Lytechinus pictus: one gene and its partner. The protein of the gene in region 2 interacts with the protein of the main gene of each other region in a biochemical or structural test. Links are inferred from orthologs where the notes say so. Each region holds a gene or a part of one and is shown on either strand. Other genes may lie near its edges.

Evidence for each region. The genes of interacting proteins can lie anywhere in the genome.
Region 1: the proteins of importin subunit alpha-1-like (region 2) and exportin-2-like form a complex in vitro, tested with the Homo sapiens proteins (2 studies listed by BioGRID). The link is inferred for Lytechinus pictus from reciprocal best matches to the Homo sapiens genes KPNA2 and CSE1L.

The regions. Positions count from the first base shown.
Region 1 is NC_087261.1:28,251,660-28,258,846, reverse strand, and holds the start of exportin-2-like, read right to left. Parts: upstream 3,086-7,187; 5' UTR 2,809-3,085; exon of another isoform or gene 2,701-2,808; intron 1-2,700. Other genes in the region: nuclear pore complex protein Nup153-like, read left to right, coding at 3,465-3,545. UniProt on the Homo sapiens protein: Export receptor for importin-alpha. Mediates importin-alpha re-export from the nucleus to the cytoplasm after import substrates (cargos) have been released into the nucleoplasm.
Region 2 is NC_087248.1:5,553,314-5,560,790, forward strand, and holds the start of importin subunit alpha-1-like, read right to left. Parts: upstream 3,013-7,477; 5' UTR 2,912-3,012; intron 1-2,911. Other genes in the region: protein DGCR6-like, read left to right, coding at 6,478-6,617, 7,190-7,350.

The DNA of each region.
Region 1 (7,187 bases), on a different chromosome or scaffold from region 2:
CGTATCTTCCGGTATCAATGATTAAAAATGTTTCGTTAAACTATATTTTGATGACGTTTGGAATCGTAAAAGTCTGTATAATTATCATCATTTTACAGAGAAAACCGTTATGGTTTACTTTCGTAAACTATTAAAATTGGGTCTCCCGGGGGTACCCATCTCAACGTCCACAAGTGATTTTTAAGTCATGAAATGAATTATTCATAATTTGATTTTCTCAGCAATTGAATGATCCAGTCTTCATGGTCTAAGTATGTATGATGCATAATTCACCTGTGCTATTATTTTCAAAAGATTTATTTCCCAATTCATCATAATATTTGCAATTTTTGTCACAATTTTTCTTTTTGAAAATTATGCTATTTTGTGACTAAGGCTACGTCTCATCTGCTCTTTTTACCGATAGTATCGATATCAAGGTATTCTAGTTAGGAAGCCTTTCGAGAAACAGGTTTAGTAAGATTGGAACTAACTCCGTGGTTGGTGGATAAAGATATGACTAACTTGTCCATGTGTTGAGAAACGGGCCCCTGGTCAACACAAAAATTATTCTAAGTTACTAATGAAAATTGAATTGCAACTGTATATAAATTAATATAATTTTGGTCACAAAAGTGATATTTTAATGATTTTTTAAAGTGTGTGCTCTATACAGCATTGGCATACCCTCTCTCTCTCTCTCTGTTTTGATCCTCCGCTCTTCGGAGATTAGCGATAAATCGCGGTCAGTCCTACCATAGTCCTACCTGTAGATTCCCCACAGGCAGGATGGTAGCAGTGAGCCAGTGAGTGGTTGTGTGTCCGGACAGGTTGTGTGTCCGGACGATCAATTTTAGAAAGTCATTTGGAAAAATGTACAAGCGAAGTTTCATCAATTTTTTTTACAAAATGTACGGAAATATTGTAGAGAACAAAATAGAAGATGATTACAACAATTGAATTCATGTTTTTAGTGTAATCCCAAGACAAAAAAGAAGGCTTCAAAAATATAAGTGTCCGGACACCCGACCCCCATCCTACAGTAAATACAAAGTACAACTACAAGATGAAAATGAATGATACAATAGATGAATGTTTGATTCAAGTAATAAACAGGAAAATAATTGTTAAATAACACAACAAGTCAACAGTGACTGTCGGTGACATACATTCAAAAGAACTTAAAGGGGAATCCAACCCAAATAAAAACTTGTATTTATAAGGAAAAGAAAAATCAGACAAGTTGAAAGGTGAAAGTTTGAACAATATTGGACAAACAACAAGAAAGTTATGAATTTTTAAAAGTCATAAATATTGGTAATCACTATACCCATGGAGACTTCAAATTGGCCGCATATGGGAAGTCATAGTGATGTAAGGCAAGGACTACTCTTCCATGTACTCCAATACATATTATGGCTAAAATGTCATTTTCCCCAAAAGTTTTATTTCAAATTATATTTTTCTTTCATGAGGACATAAAACGATATACTACTTGGGTTATATTTAGATTACTGCCCCAGGGGAATAGGGACTTAGGAGAAAACCACAAATCCCTGATAATAAAGTACCTGGCCAATGGGAAAGTTGTCCTTGCCCCTTGTCATAATTTACTTACTCAGTTGCCAATTTGAAATCTACATAGTATTAGTGATCTCAATTTTAAAGCAGCTATAACTTTCTTATCGCTTGTCCGATTTCTTTCAAACTTTCACCATTCTGTTTAATTTATTTTTCTCCTTCTCAACACAACATTTTATAGCCAAGGCTGGATTCCCCTTTAAGCTAAGGCTAAGCCTAGGCTATAAAAAATAGACCCTAAATCATTAATTTTTTTGGTTCTACTTTGAGTTTTCAATACCAAGTGTTTTTGCACTTCTGTCATTCTTGCAATTGCAGCCGGTGATCATTAAAAAAATCTTGCCACAGCCTCAGCCTATGTGTATGTCTAACGTTATGTTATGTAAATAATGTATGACGAGTATGTACTATGACTATGAGTATGAACCTCAGCAGTAGAGGCACACAGCCAATATGGGCACTCATTCAATGAACAAGGTTATGATATATGGGAGACTATCTACGACTCTAGATAATCTCCCATCATGCCCATAGCTTCTTTTCTTCTTCTTCTGTTGATTTCCTCCAGTCCTGGAGAACTGCGAGATCCAGTGGATACGCAGAAAAAATAGCATAGCCAGAGTCTTGCTTTGCAAAACAAAAGAATCAACACTGACAACAGTCAACACCAACAAAAGTGTAATTTTTTCCACCCAAAATTTTGTCTCACTGAGGTCAGAAGCCCATTTGTTTTGTGTGTGGATGACAACAAAAATCCTTATCAAAACAAAAGTAGACAGTGATTTTTTAAAGTAGACAGTGAAAAGGGGGTAATTTTTCATGAGGAATCTGCTTAATATTTATCAGTAACACTAACACATTTTTATTTGCCGCCAAGGTAAACTTTACTTTAGACTTTTAGTTTAAGTTTAACTTAAAGTTTAAGTTTAGTTTTTGAGGCAAATGTACACAAAGGAAATTGGTCTCCCAAACTGGAGATTGTCTCTGAAATTGGATACCCAAATTCTTTACAAAAGTCTCTGATATTTGAGATAATCTCTTCTCATGCCAGTCATAGGAGACAGTTTCCCATATTGGCCGTGCGCCTCTACTGCTCAGCCTCAGTGACTGACATGACACTGTCACTGACACTCCAGTCACACTCACACTCACAGAAGTCAGAAAAACACTCAGCTCAGCTAGCGGCTCCGAGTCCGACTGGTAGCTGCTGGCCTAATACTATTCTAGAGACTCCTCAGTTCAACTCACTCAAGAACTGGATCTCTCGTCAGGAAGAGGAAGAGCTAATCTAGATTCAACAAGAGCTTGAACGTTAATCTGTCTTGCAGCGGCAGCTACAGGCCAGGAGGTCGGTCAGCTTCAGCGGCGGTATACAGCCAGTGCGCCGGGCAGCGATGGGGTACCGTAGTAGTACGCTGCAGATCCGATACGTTCATTCATTCACCAACGTCTCGCCTATACGTAGACCTACGTAACATGCACGAGCACTGCACTGCACGCGCGCGCGCTAACATTTCAAAATGGCGAAATAAAAAAGTACCCTCTAAAATAATTTGTTTATAAATGAGTTTTAAATTAACTTTTTGAAAAATTAAAAAATTATTTAAAAGTAATTCAATAATAATTTTAAACTAATCGATGCATCCAGCTTAATTTCGATTCGATTTGACTCCTAAAAATCGACGTTTACCGAGTGACAAAAGACATGTAATATAAAAGGGGAAAAGTGCAGAAAATCACGTGACATTTAACCAATCAACTTCTTTGAAAAAGGCCGCCATCTTGACTCATCTACTGTGAAATTCAATGGAAACACTACGAGCTATTTCTTAATTTCGAAGATTATCAACTTATTCTAACCCTTGTGAAGGTTGCTGTGGCGGTCAGTTCATATTCAACTAGCCATGGCAACCCCGTCTGGTGGTAAATTTCGCCCGAAACGATCTCACTACTCGCGTAAACCATACGAACGTCCAAAACCGAAGGTGAGTATGAATGATCACACACGCGCAGTCGTGCCAAACTGCCATTGCTAACCGTATTGAAAATACATGTCGATCCGACGTGCATGACGTACATGCACGTACATGTAGAAACCAATGTGTCCATGCGATGTGTGCCGCTGCGTGTGTGTAATGTATGTGAATGAATGGACAGGTTGATTTTCAAATTAAGTTAAAGAAAATGAGGGGTGTTGATAGATAAGCTTACTTTTGTCCTTTTTTTATTTGACCTACCGTACATGATGATGTAAGGACCAGTGAATCTGTTCGAGAATGATTGAGAAATTTTTTTCCAAAAAAAGACCAAATTGTCAAAAAAAACTATGGGATACAACTTAATTTCCAACATTTCTACGCTATCGATTTCATTTTTAAACAAGAATTCATCAAAAAAATGAGCAAAATATTATGAAAAGATGGACGAGACTCGCCCGATGTTTACGCCGCCATCTAATGTTTTTCCCAACTGTTACGGACTGCGTCGGTGTGCGGCCGTTCGGCAGGCTCAGCAATACACCACTGAAATCACCAACACACTCTAGACATTTACACTACACATTCACTAACTCTCACACTACAAAATCATCCTGCTACTTGGGCAAAATCTCAAATAAAAAGTGAAATTTTCTTACCTAAATCACCATATCTCGCGTCAAAATATCACCATCGGTACTTCTTAACTAATCGTCAGTAGAGGCGCACGGCCAATATTGGAGACTGTCTCCAATGTGGGAGATTATCTCCAATATCCAGTAGAGGCGCATGGCCAATATTGGAGACTGTCTCCAATGTGGGAGATTATCTCCAATATCAGAGACTTTTGTAAAGAATTTGGGTATCCAATTTCAGAGACAGTCTCCAGTTTTGGAGTCCAATTTCCTTTGTTTACATTTGCTGCAAAAGGATTACCTTGGCGGCAAATAAAAATGTGATAAGCAGATTCCTCATGAAAAATTACCCCTTTTCACCGTCTGCTTTAAAAATTCACCGTCTACTTTTATTTTGATAAGGAATTTTGTTGTCAATCACACACAAAACAAATGGGCTTCTGACCTCAGTGAGACAAAATTTTGGATGGAAAAAATCATACTTTTGTTGGTGTTGTTTCTTTTGTCCTTTTGCAAAGCAAGTCTCCAATGTGGGAGATTGTCTCCCCTATTGGAGAGAGTCTCCCATATTGGCCGTGCGCCTCTACTGATATCAGAGACTTTTGTAAAGAATTTGGGTATCCAATTTCAGAGACAGTCTCCAGTTTTGGAGACCAATTTCCTTTGTTTACATTTGCTGCAAAAGGATTACCTTGGCGACAAATTAAAATGTGATAAGCAGATTCCTCATGAAAAATTACCCCTTTTCACCGTCTACTCTTGTTTTGATAAGGATTTTTGTTGTAAATCACACACAAAACAAATGGGCTTCTGACCTCAGTGTAGTGTAGCTTAGTCGGTTAGAGCGCCTGTTCCGGAAAAGATCGTAGATCTCAACGTGCGTGGGTTCGAGTCCCGCAGCATGCCGGAAGACGTCTAACAAAAAAACTGATGCTAGCGTTGTGTGTTAACGTGCCTCACCGCTGTGTTCAGTGCGGGTGTGAATGCAGTTGGAAAACACTCCGTCCATCGGAAAGGACGCAAATGTTGGTCCCGTGTATAGGAGAGTCACAACCTATGCACGTTAAAACCAATACTAGGGTGGACAAATTGAAATCCTAAAATTTTTATTTGAACGTCTTCACATTTTTATTTACAATGACATGAAAGAGAAAACAAAATCAAAGCAAACATACCAACTCCCAGTTCCAAAGGTTTCCAAAAAGTGAAGATATTAAGTGTCAAACTATGGCCTTTGTGAGACCAGAAAGGGACAGAGATAACCGATTCAGCCCCCTAACTTCCCCGAAGCTAGTTGTCACGTAAAATGGTCGATGAATAGCTAGTTTCGAACGACCTCCTTAAATTAATATTCAATTTTAAATTTGCCGCTGCAGCCCGGCTCGTAGTCTGTGGTAGCTTGTGCACGAGACGTTATTTACGAAAAATGCATTCTAAAAAGTAAAACTCTCCCCATAAATAGAAATTTACGATTTTCTTTAAAAATAAACGTTGATTCATATTTCATACCTATAAATGATGATCATTTGACATATTCGACTTCTAGATCATGTTTTTGGTGGAAGTTATTTCCATCTTTTCTTCTCCGTCAGAACTCCGAACGTAGTCACGGTCTTGCCATGCCCAGCGCACCCGGTACTGATGCACTGCGTATACGGTACTAGACCGGCCGCAGCTAGCTAGCTTCCCAGGCATAAATGCACAGTCATGACATGCCGTTGCCAATTTTAAGATATATTATAATTTACGTTTTTAAATGTTGTTTTATTTTTGTTTGTTTGTTTACGATCATGTCTAATTATGTAAATATTGTGTGTGATTTCCTGTAATTAAAAACATAGGCCTTATTAAAAAAAAAAAAAAAAAAAAATATATATATATATTTAAACGTAATAATAGTACTCACCTAAACTAAAAACACCTCACATGTGCCTGTGATGCACCCCGGCCATTGTCTGTACCAATCTATTTCTATGATTATTTTTTCGAAATTACCGAAGAACACGAAAATATGTACGTCCATAAATATTTCTTTTAGGTATGGAATATTATTACAACGAGCAAATGTTGTTACCAGACTTAGAAAAAATTCAGAAGTGGTAAATATTGTCCCATAAATGCATTTTTTTTTTAATACGAGGTTTAGAGGAGCGTATCTGTGAAGATCCATGGTGAAAAAGGCAGGACAAGCTGAAACTTGTTTTCATGAAACTTGTTTTCATTGTCGATTAAAGTTAGAAAGTTAATTTATTAATGGGGGTGACTTGAACACATCGGTAAAAGTATCAGTAGAAACAAACATAATTTACCTCTATATCATAAACATTAATTTTACCTCTAAATCATAAACATCCATAACAATATAGCACTGTATCAAACATATCAATTATTTCAGTTTTATGCTTAGAATAATCTTTTATGTTTGAGTGGAATTTCCCCATTTACAAGTTCAAGTTACTCTGTGCCCTTTGGTTCATGTCATGAAACCCGTTCTTATTTTCATTTCATTCATCAAATCAAATACGATACGGTGCAGTGCAACACGTGCAACAATGCCTGCTGTGGCGTATTGCAAAGATATCAATGTCTTTATGACATTAAAGGCATATTGTTTTGTTTATCATATCAACTGCAGCAGTTTTTGTCTCCACGAAGACATATATTTATTATTTTACTCCAACGAGGAAGCTGCCCAGGTGGAGTGGTGGAGCTGGTGCAAATTCATAACAGAGGATACGCCAAAATTTGCATACCTCTAGGTAACTATTTACACCCCCCCCCCCCCAAAAAAAAAAAAAAAAATAGAAAATAAAATAAAAAAAATGAGTCAAGCAGAGTAAAAGCAACAGTGGAAAATCTTTGATAAAGGCAAGTAGAAAAAGTAATAAAAACAGGTCTAAACAAATAACAATTATATCTATTTTTTTTTAGAGCTAAATTATAAAAATAACTTTTTAGTTTAAATAACAGTTTCATTGTATTATCAGCAATTTAATCCCAGATATTCCCCCCCCCC
Region 2 (7,477 bases):
TGAAACAGTTCTATGCATTTCTTCATGAATATTCAATGAGCAATCTGATGTCATATTTCATTTATTATATGAAATTAGGTTTATTCAATTTTGTTTATCCAAGAACTAAAAAAATTTGGATTGACAACTGATCTGCATTAGATATTCATTTAGCTGCAACTTATTTCATTATTTTTTGAGAGACATACTCATTCACACATGATTTCATGTAATAACAAAGAAAAAAGTGGGGATCAGGGGATGTGACATCAGCCCACTTAATGAATATTCATGACATACAACTGTTTGCTAAATAAAAATTTAAAATGCAATATAACTTTGTTATCAGATTTTGATGAAATTTTCAGCATTTTGCTCTGTGAATTTTTACTCTATTTATTTTATGAATATTTTCAACCCAGAGTACCCTTTAATGTGAGGCATGCACATCCCTGTCAAAAATAATTTGAGTGCCGCAGATAATCGAATGTCGAGAAAAAGGGCAATGTGTACTTTGGGTATCTACCCAGTTGTGTGTCCCGACAGTTCGTGTGTCCAGACAATCGATTTTAAACAGCCATTTGGAAAAGTTCTATCAATTTTTAGCATAAGCTGTTGTAGGTCAAGTCCACCCCAGATAAATGTTAATTTTATTTTTGAATCAATAGAGAAAAATCGAGCAAGAATAAACGCTGAAAATATCATCAAAATCGGATGTAAAATATTAAGATATGATATTTTAAAGTTTTGCTTATTTTTCTCAAAACAGTGCACAACTCAGTGATATGCAAATGAGTTGATGATGTCCATCACTCACTATTTCTCTTGTTTTTTGTTTCAATTACACAATTATTATATTCTACTTTTTACAGAATTGACAATGTAAAACTTGACTGAACCACATGTTAAACAATGTTAAAGGTCCAGTCCACCCCAGAAAAATGTTAATTTGAATAAATAGAGAAAAATCAATCTAGCAGAACTGAAAATTTCATCAAAATTGGATGTAAAATAAGAAAGTTATGGCATTTTAAAGTTTCGCTTATTTTTTCACAAAACAGTGATATGCACAACTCAGTGACATGCAAATGAGAGTCAATGACGTCACTCACTCACTATTTCTTTTGTTTTTTATTGTTTGAATTATACAATATTTCATTTTTTACAGATTTGACAATGAGGACCAACTTAATTGACTGAACCAAATAGTATTAAACAATCCTAATTCCACATGTTCAGGAGGAATTAATCGTTGTTTCACTTGACAATGAGGAGAAAATTAGAATATTTCATATTTCATATAATAAAATACAAAAGAAATAGTGAGTGGATGACATCATCAGTCTCCTCATTTGCATACTGACCAGGATGTGCATATACTGAGTAACTGTTTTGTGAAATTAAGCGAAACTTTAAAATGTCATAACTTTCTTATTTTACACCCGATTTTGATGAAATTTTCAGTGTTATGTTAGTTGGATTTTTCTCTTTTTATTCAAATTAACTTTTTGTTGGGGTGGACTTGTCCTTTAATAAAGGGGTTAATGCAACATGTTCAGGGAGGAATAAAACTTTGTTTCAAAGGATAATATGGAGAAAATCAGACCATGTCAAATGTCACGTAAAAGAATACAAAAGAAATAGTAAGTGGGTAACGTCATCTGTCCCCTCATTTGCATACCGACCAGGATAACTGGTGTGAAATCAAGCAAAATTTGAATTTTAAAAATGTCATAACTTTCTTTTTACATCTGATTTGATGAATTTTTTAGTGTTATTCTCTGTTAGATTCTTCTTAATAATAATAATAATTAACATCATTTATATAGCGCTTATCACAAAGAATGTCTCTAAGCGCTTAAGGAAAATACATAGGAAGACAAGAAATTTCAGCTAAAAACAAATTATACATGTTAACAGTTGAAAGTAGACAGTTGAAGCAGCATATGCTTTTTGTTGGGGTGGACTTGCCCTTTTTAAGGCATTAAGCAATATTAGTTACAGAGTCAGAGCAAAACTGAGTGAAGTTGATTGATTTCATATTTTTTGTGTAGACCCCTAATCCAAAAAGGCTTCAAAAATATAAAGTGTCCAGACACCCGACCCCCCCATCCTAAGTAGGATGGGGGGTTGGGTGTCCGGACACGTAACAGAAATGAAGCCTTGTTTTTATCTCAGGAATAAACCAAAAATATAGGTTGAATAGTTTTTTTTCACCATCAATATTTGTTCTTTATAATATTTTCTTATATTCTGTGCTAAAAAGAATTAAAGACATTGCTTGTAAACTTTTCAAAATTGAGAGTAAAAGTCATGTGTCCGGACACCCAACCCGTCCGGACACACAACCACTGGGCATACAAGATAGACCTTCTAAAATGGTTTGATCCAGAATTTAAATTCAAATTTCATGTTCGGTCTTTTTCAAGTTACTTTCACTGTTGAAAATTCTAGTATTATTCATGAAATAATATGGTTTTATTAATAGGCCTAGGCCTAATTAATTTATATAGGGCCTAGGCCCCTATATTAAGGCATTTTTTTATGTTTGTAAACTTGAATTGAATTTGTGAACAAAACAGATTTCCAATAGGCCTATGGATAAATAAAGACGAACTTGAACTCTCTCACTTCTCTGCCCAACATTCCAAAACTTCAGACAGCGCAGTCATGCATTTCACACTCACACAGTCTTTCTGACACACAGACCACAGTCACAGATCTGCAGATCATTCCTACGAAGTTCAATCAAGTCTCCCAGACATGCCAGAAAACATCATCAAATCATTGAATTCACATCCAAAAAACAAAAAAATGAAGCAGCATATTATTTACAGTAGTTTCTATAATCTCAAAACAAACTAATTCGTATCAATTTTCTTTTCTTTTTAGTAAAAATATGAAACAAATTTAAGGAGACAAAGAGGCTCACCTGCTCGTGCCGATATCGAACTCTGAAATGAAGTTCCAATGATGCGCCTTATTTAAAGAGCCGAAAAAGAAAGCTGTTCATTGGCTGATCATCATAACAATATTCATGAGGGCAATTTGCATAAGATTTGTGATTTTAGAACAAACTAATCAGTTACATATTAGTAGAATTATTCGTTAAAATAGCTATATAATATTTTAAAAGTACATATTATTGAGTTAGATGCAAGGAAATAGAATTCCAACTAAGTTTTCATACCGATTTTTGAAATTTAAAGGTTCGTGCATAATTAATTTGCATATCGATAATCATGATCGATATCATTCAGATTACATGCGCAAACAAGAAAGGAAAAAAGGAAGAGCCAGAGTCTAGACGTGTCTTTTTTCAGGCATTCCTAAAGTTAGTGTTAGATTTGTGAGGTAAATTTTTATTTAAACACACAGAAGAAAATTCAAACGATTTAATAATTTTGATTATACGATTTTGAGTAGTATGAGAGAGCGAGTATCATTATAAAATGTCTGACTCATGCTGGCAAGACCGAGGGCGAGGCGACGTCTGAGATGAGGCCGCCTTGAGTTTCGGGGGACTTTTCATTCAATTCGCGCTAGGATGCCTGTTGCCAGAGCTAGCTAGTGCTGAGTGTCACTGTCAGTAGCCAGCGCGCGACATTGATTGTTCAGAATCAGAGTCAGACTTTTACTAGAGATTGCTAAAATTAAGTAATAAGTAACCATAAAAATATGGGAAAGAGTTCCTGTTTTGTGACAGCTACCCAAATCAACTAGATCTAACGTTTGTTAGATCTAGACTTTGACTAGCCAATTGACCATATAATTTGATGAAAAACTAAAATTAAAAAGGACTATTTTTTTATTGGATTGATTGGACTGGATGAGGTTGACTTAATAATTTTGAGGGAAGAGCCCGAGGCCAAGAAAAAATGGGGCATGCCGATGACGCGTGACGTGCACAGGAATGTTCTTGGTTATTGTAAAAGAAATTGAATATATATTTAGACTATATAGTCTAGTCACGTATTACCTGACACTATTATGATTATGATTCCTGACGTGCATTATTACTGCGTACGAAAGCAATTTTGTACTGCAAGACTTCTGCAGTTCAATTTCACAGAACAATACATAGAAGAACAAGATTGCAAAAACAAGGCTAAAAATGAGAGAAAATGCTTAAAATATTATATAACAATCGATATATTTTCTGACAGAAATATGGGCCTGATTTGTAGAATTTCAATCTCTTCCGCTCCTTCGATCGAATGTTGTGTATTGTGGGTGATCGTCGACGGCTGAAATTCTCAAGGTACCTGTGTCCGGCAATAGGATACACTGCCATACGTAGTCTAGATCTATAACTTTATAAGGAGTCTATTTTTGGGGGGGGTGGTGTTTGTCACATTCTCACACTTTCTCTTGCTCTGTCCATATCCCGGCCTCTAATCACTTGATCGGTCTATTTCTCTTGTGCTCCTTTGTTATGCCTGTCACTGTCGGGAGAGGAGTTTGAGAAATTAATTTTGCTCACTGAAATGCAACAAATTGATCAGAAATGAAGGAGAGAATCCTTATCTAGCTGGGACCTTCGGCAAGCGAGTCCTTGATCTGCCTTCACAATGTACCTGCCAAGAAGGTTTTGACGGCTTGGGCGTTCATAACACATTTATAGGGAGATTATAATACTTTTTTCACTAAATGGCGTAATTTTTTTCTAGAAGTTCTAGCGTTGATATCAGCTAGGTAGAGCTACAGCACAGTCTTATCAGTCTTATGAGGCTATTAAAATTACCCCAAGAGGTCGATTGCACACAAATTTTCACACTTTTTTCCATTGTGTGTGTGTGCATTGTTTAGGCGTTGGTGTGGCCTGATACGCTGGCGGATCCAGGAATGGGCACAGCCGGCCCGTGCCCCCCATTTTGAGAGGCACGATTAAAATTTGTAATGTAAAAATACTGTTAATGATAAATAATCCAACCCAAATAAAAACTTGTTTTTATAAGGAAAAGAAAAATCAGACTAGTTGATATGTGACAGTTTGAACAATATTGGACAAACAACAAGAAAGTTATGAATTTTTAAATGTTGTAAATATTGGTAATCACTATACCCATGGAGACTTCAAATTGGCCTCATATGGGATGTCATAGTGATGTAAGGCAAGGACTACTCTTCCATGTACTCCAATACATATTATGGCTAAAATGTTGTTTTTCCCAAAAGTTTTATTTCAAATTTAATTTTTATTTCATGAGGACATAAAACAATATACTACCTGGGTTATATTTAGATTACTGCCCCAGGGGAATGGGTACTTAGGAGAAAACCACAAATCCCTGATAATAAAGTGCATGGCCTATGGGAAAGTTGTCCTTGCCCCTTGTCATAATTTACTTACTCAGTTGCCAATTTGAAATCTACATAGTATTAGTGATCTCAATTTTAAAGCAGCTATAACTTTCTTATTGCTTGTCCGATTTCTTTCAAACTTTCACCATTCTGTTTAATTTATTTTCTCCTTCCCAACACAAAATTTTATGGCCAAGGCTGGATTCCCCTTTAATACAAATGTTTCTAAGCGTTGCATACTATTACCCTGGCTTTAGCACGGCTATCCCGATCAGACGCTTGAGCATTCAAGGAATTCCTTCCTACCGGGTACCCATTAACTACACCTGGGTGGAGAGTGGCAAATGTAGATAAACGCTTTGCCAAAGGATGCGAGTGCTGCAGTGGAGTTTGAACCTCGGACCTTGTGGTTCAAAGTCCAGAGACTTATCCACTGAGCCACAACACCTCTACCTCTGTTAAAATACAAGTGTGCCCCCCCCCATTTTGAAAGTGAAGACCTTTAAAAAAGAATTTGTGGACGAAATGCCCTAAATTTTTGGTTGAAAACTTTTTGCTTTTTTTATTTTACAAGAACTTTAAGGTCAAGCATGCACCAAGTTCCACATTTTTTTCTATTGCGTATGTGTGTGTTGTTACTTAATGCATTGATATGGCCTGTTATTTTGTGAATTGTGTCATGGAGTGCTATTCTGTAGCCTCAAGGTCGTACATGTACGTGCACGTTCGGCAGCATACGAGCTCCATCCAGCTATTGATCACGATGGGGACACAACGCTAATAAAAAAAAGCTATGTGACTGACAGTGATTTGTAATGACTGTCATACGAGATTATACTCATGCCAATAGTTCTTGCCCTAGCTGTTTGATTGTGTAGTGTACCAGGCTAATGGAATAAAACCATTGTATGTATGACAGCTATTTTTCGATAACTAACATCTGTCGCATAAGTCTTGTGAGTACTTCGGATTTATACTTGATAATTGGGGTTTGTTTTGATCAACAGACATAGAGGGCAGCAACATTTGTTGTGCTTATCACTCTTTCTTGAAAATGAAACATTTTACATTTATAACTTTTGTATTTTACATCTGATATGCATTTTATAGTGATGAATATGTATGCTTGTTTGCCTTTAATTCAAGTATCCCAACAGCTGGTGTACACACTTGAGACAAAGGCCATTCATAAAGATGGACCCTAGGGATGAAGGGCAGGAGAGTTTTCAAGAAGGGGCCTACATGATATCAGAAGTGGATATCAAAAGACAGAAGCAAGAACGTCATTATACCATGCTGAGTCAGCTACAGGACATGGCTCGGCAGATTCCTATGTGAGTACAGTACTACAGTCTGTCTTGGTCAACCTTCTAGAAGTTAAAGCAATTTTTAGATCATAATTTACAAAGCAAGGTGTATTTTACATATCTACAAGTTGAATTTGCCTTACAAGTCAAACAGATTTCTCTTTGTTCCAATAAATTGTGCTGAAATAAAGATGCTAATTCAATTTGTGAAATTAAAATATTGAAATAAAAGGAAGCATATTTCAGAATTTTCAGAAATAATGAGCTTTTCAATCAATCTATGAGATGTAATATCACTAATGGCAATTCTAGTATATGAATTATGATTCCTAGATGCTTAACCGGAAAAAAGAATAATTATAGTGAGTTGTAACTCTGAGGATGGATTTTCATCTAGACACATTGATGATTCATATTTACAATTGATTTGATATTTTGTTACAGGGCCTTCCCTGAGTTGAGGCATTTTCTCAGACAATAGAAAATGCAAAACATGTGTTATTAAAGTCCCAAGAGATCAACTTAAATGCAGATTTTACTTTATTTGAATGGATCATGGATACATAATTCAGGTATGCACTAATTGTTTCTATAAACAGGAATTTTCAGCAGCGGCTACCCTACACAACCATATCTAACCTAGCTTTATCTCTGCTGGATGGAACTGTCTTTGAGATTGTCCAACATCTCTCTGAGATACAACAGATGATGGAGAGAAAACTAATGGAACAGAGAGCAAGACTCCATAGTAGTCACAAATGTAAGTACAGTTGACCCTGCCTAAGGTGACCTTCAATAAGCCAAATGATTGCCTAAGATGTAGCAATTATCAGTGGCCCCGTCTTACAAAGAGTTCGATTGATCCAATCAATCGTAACTCTATGGAA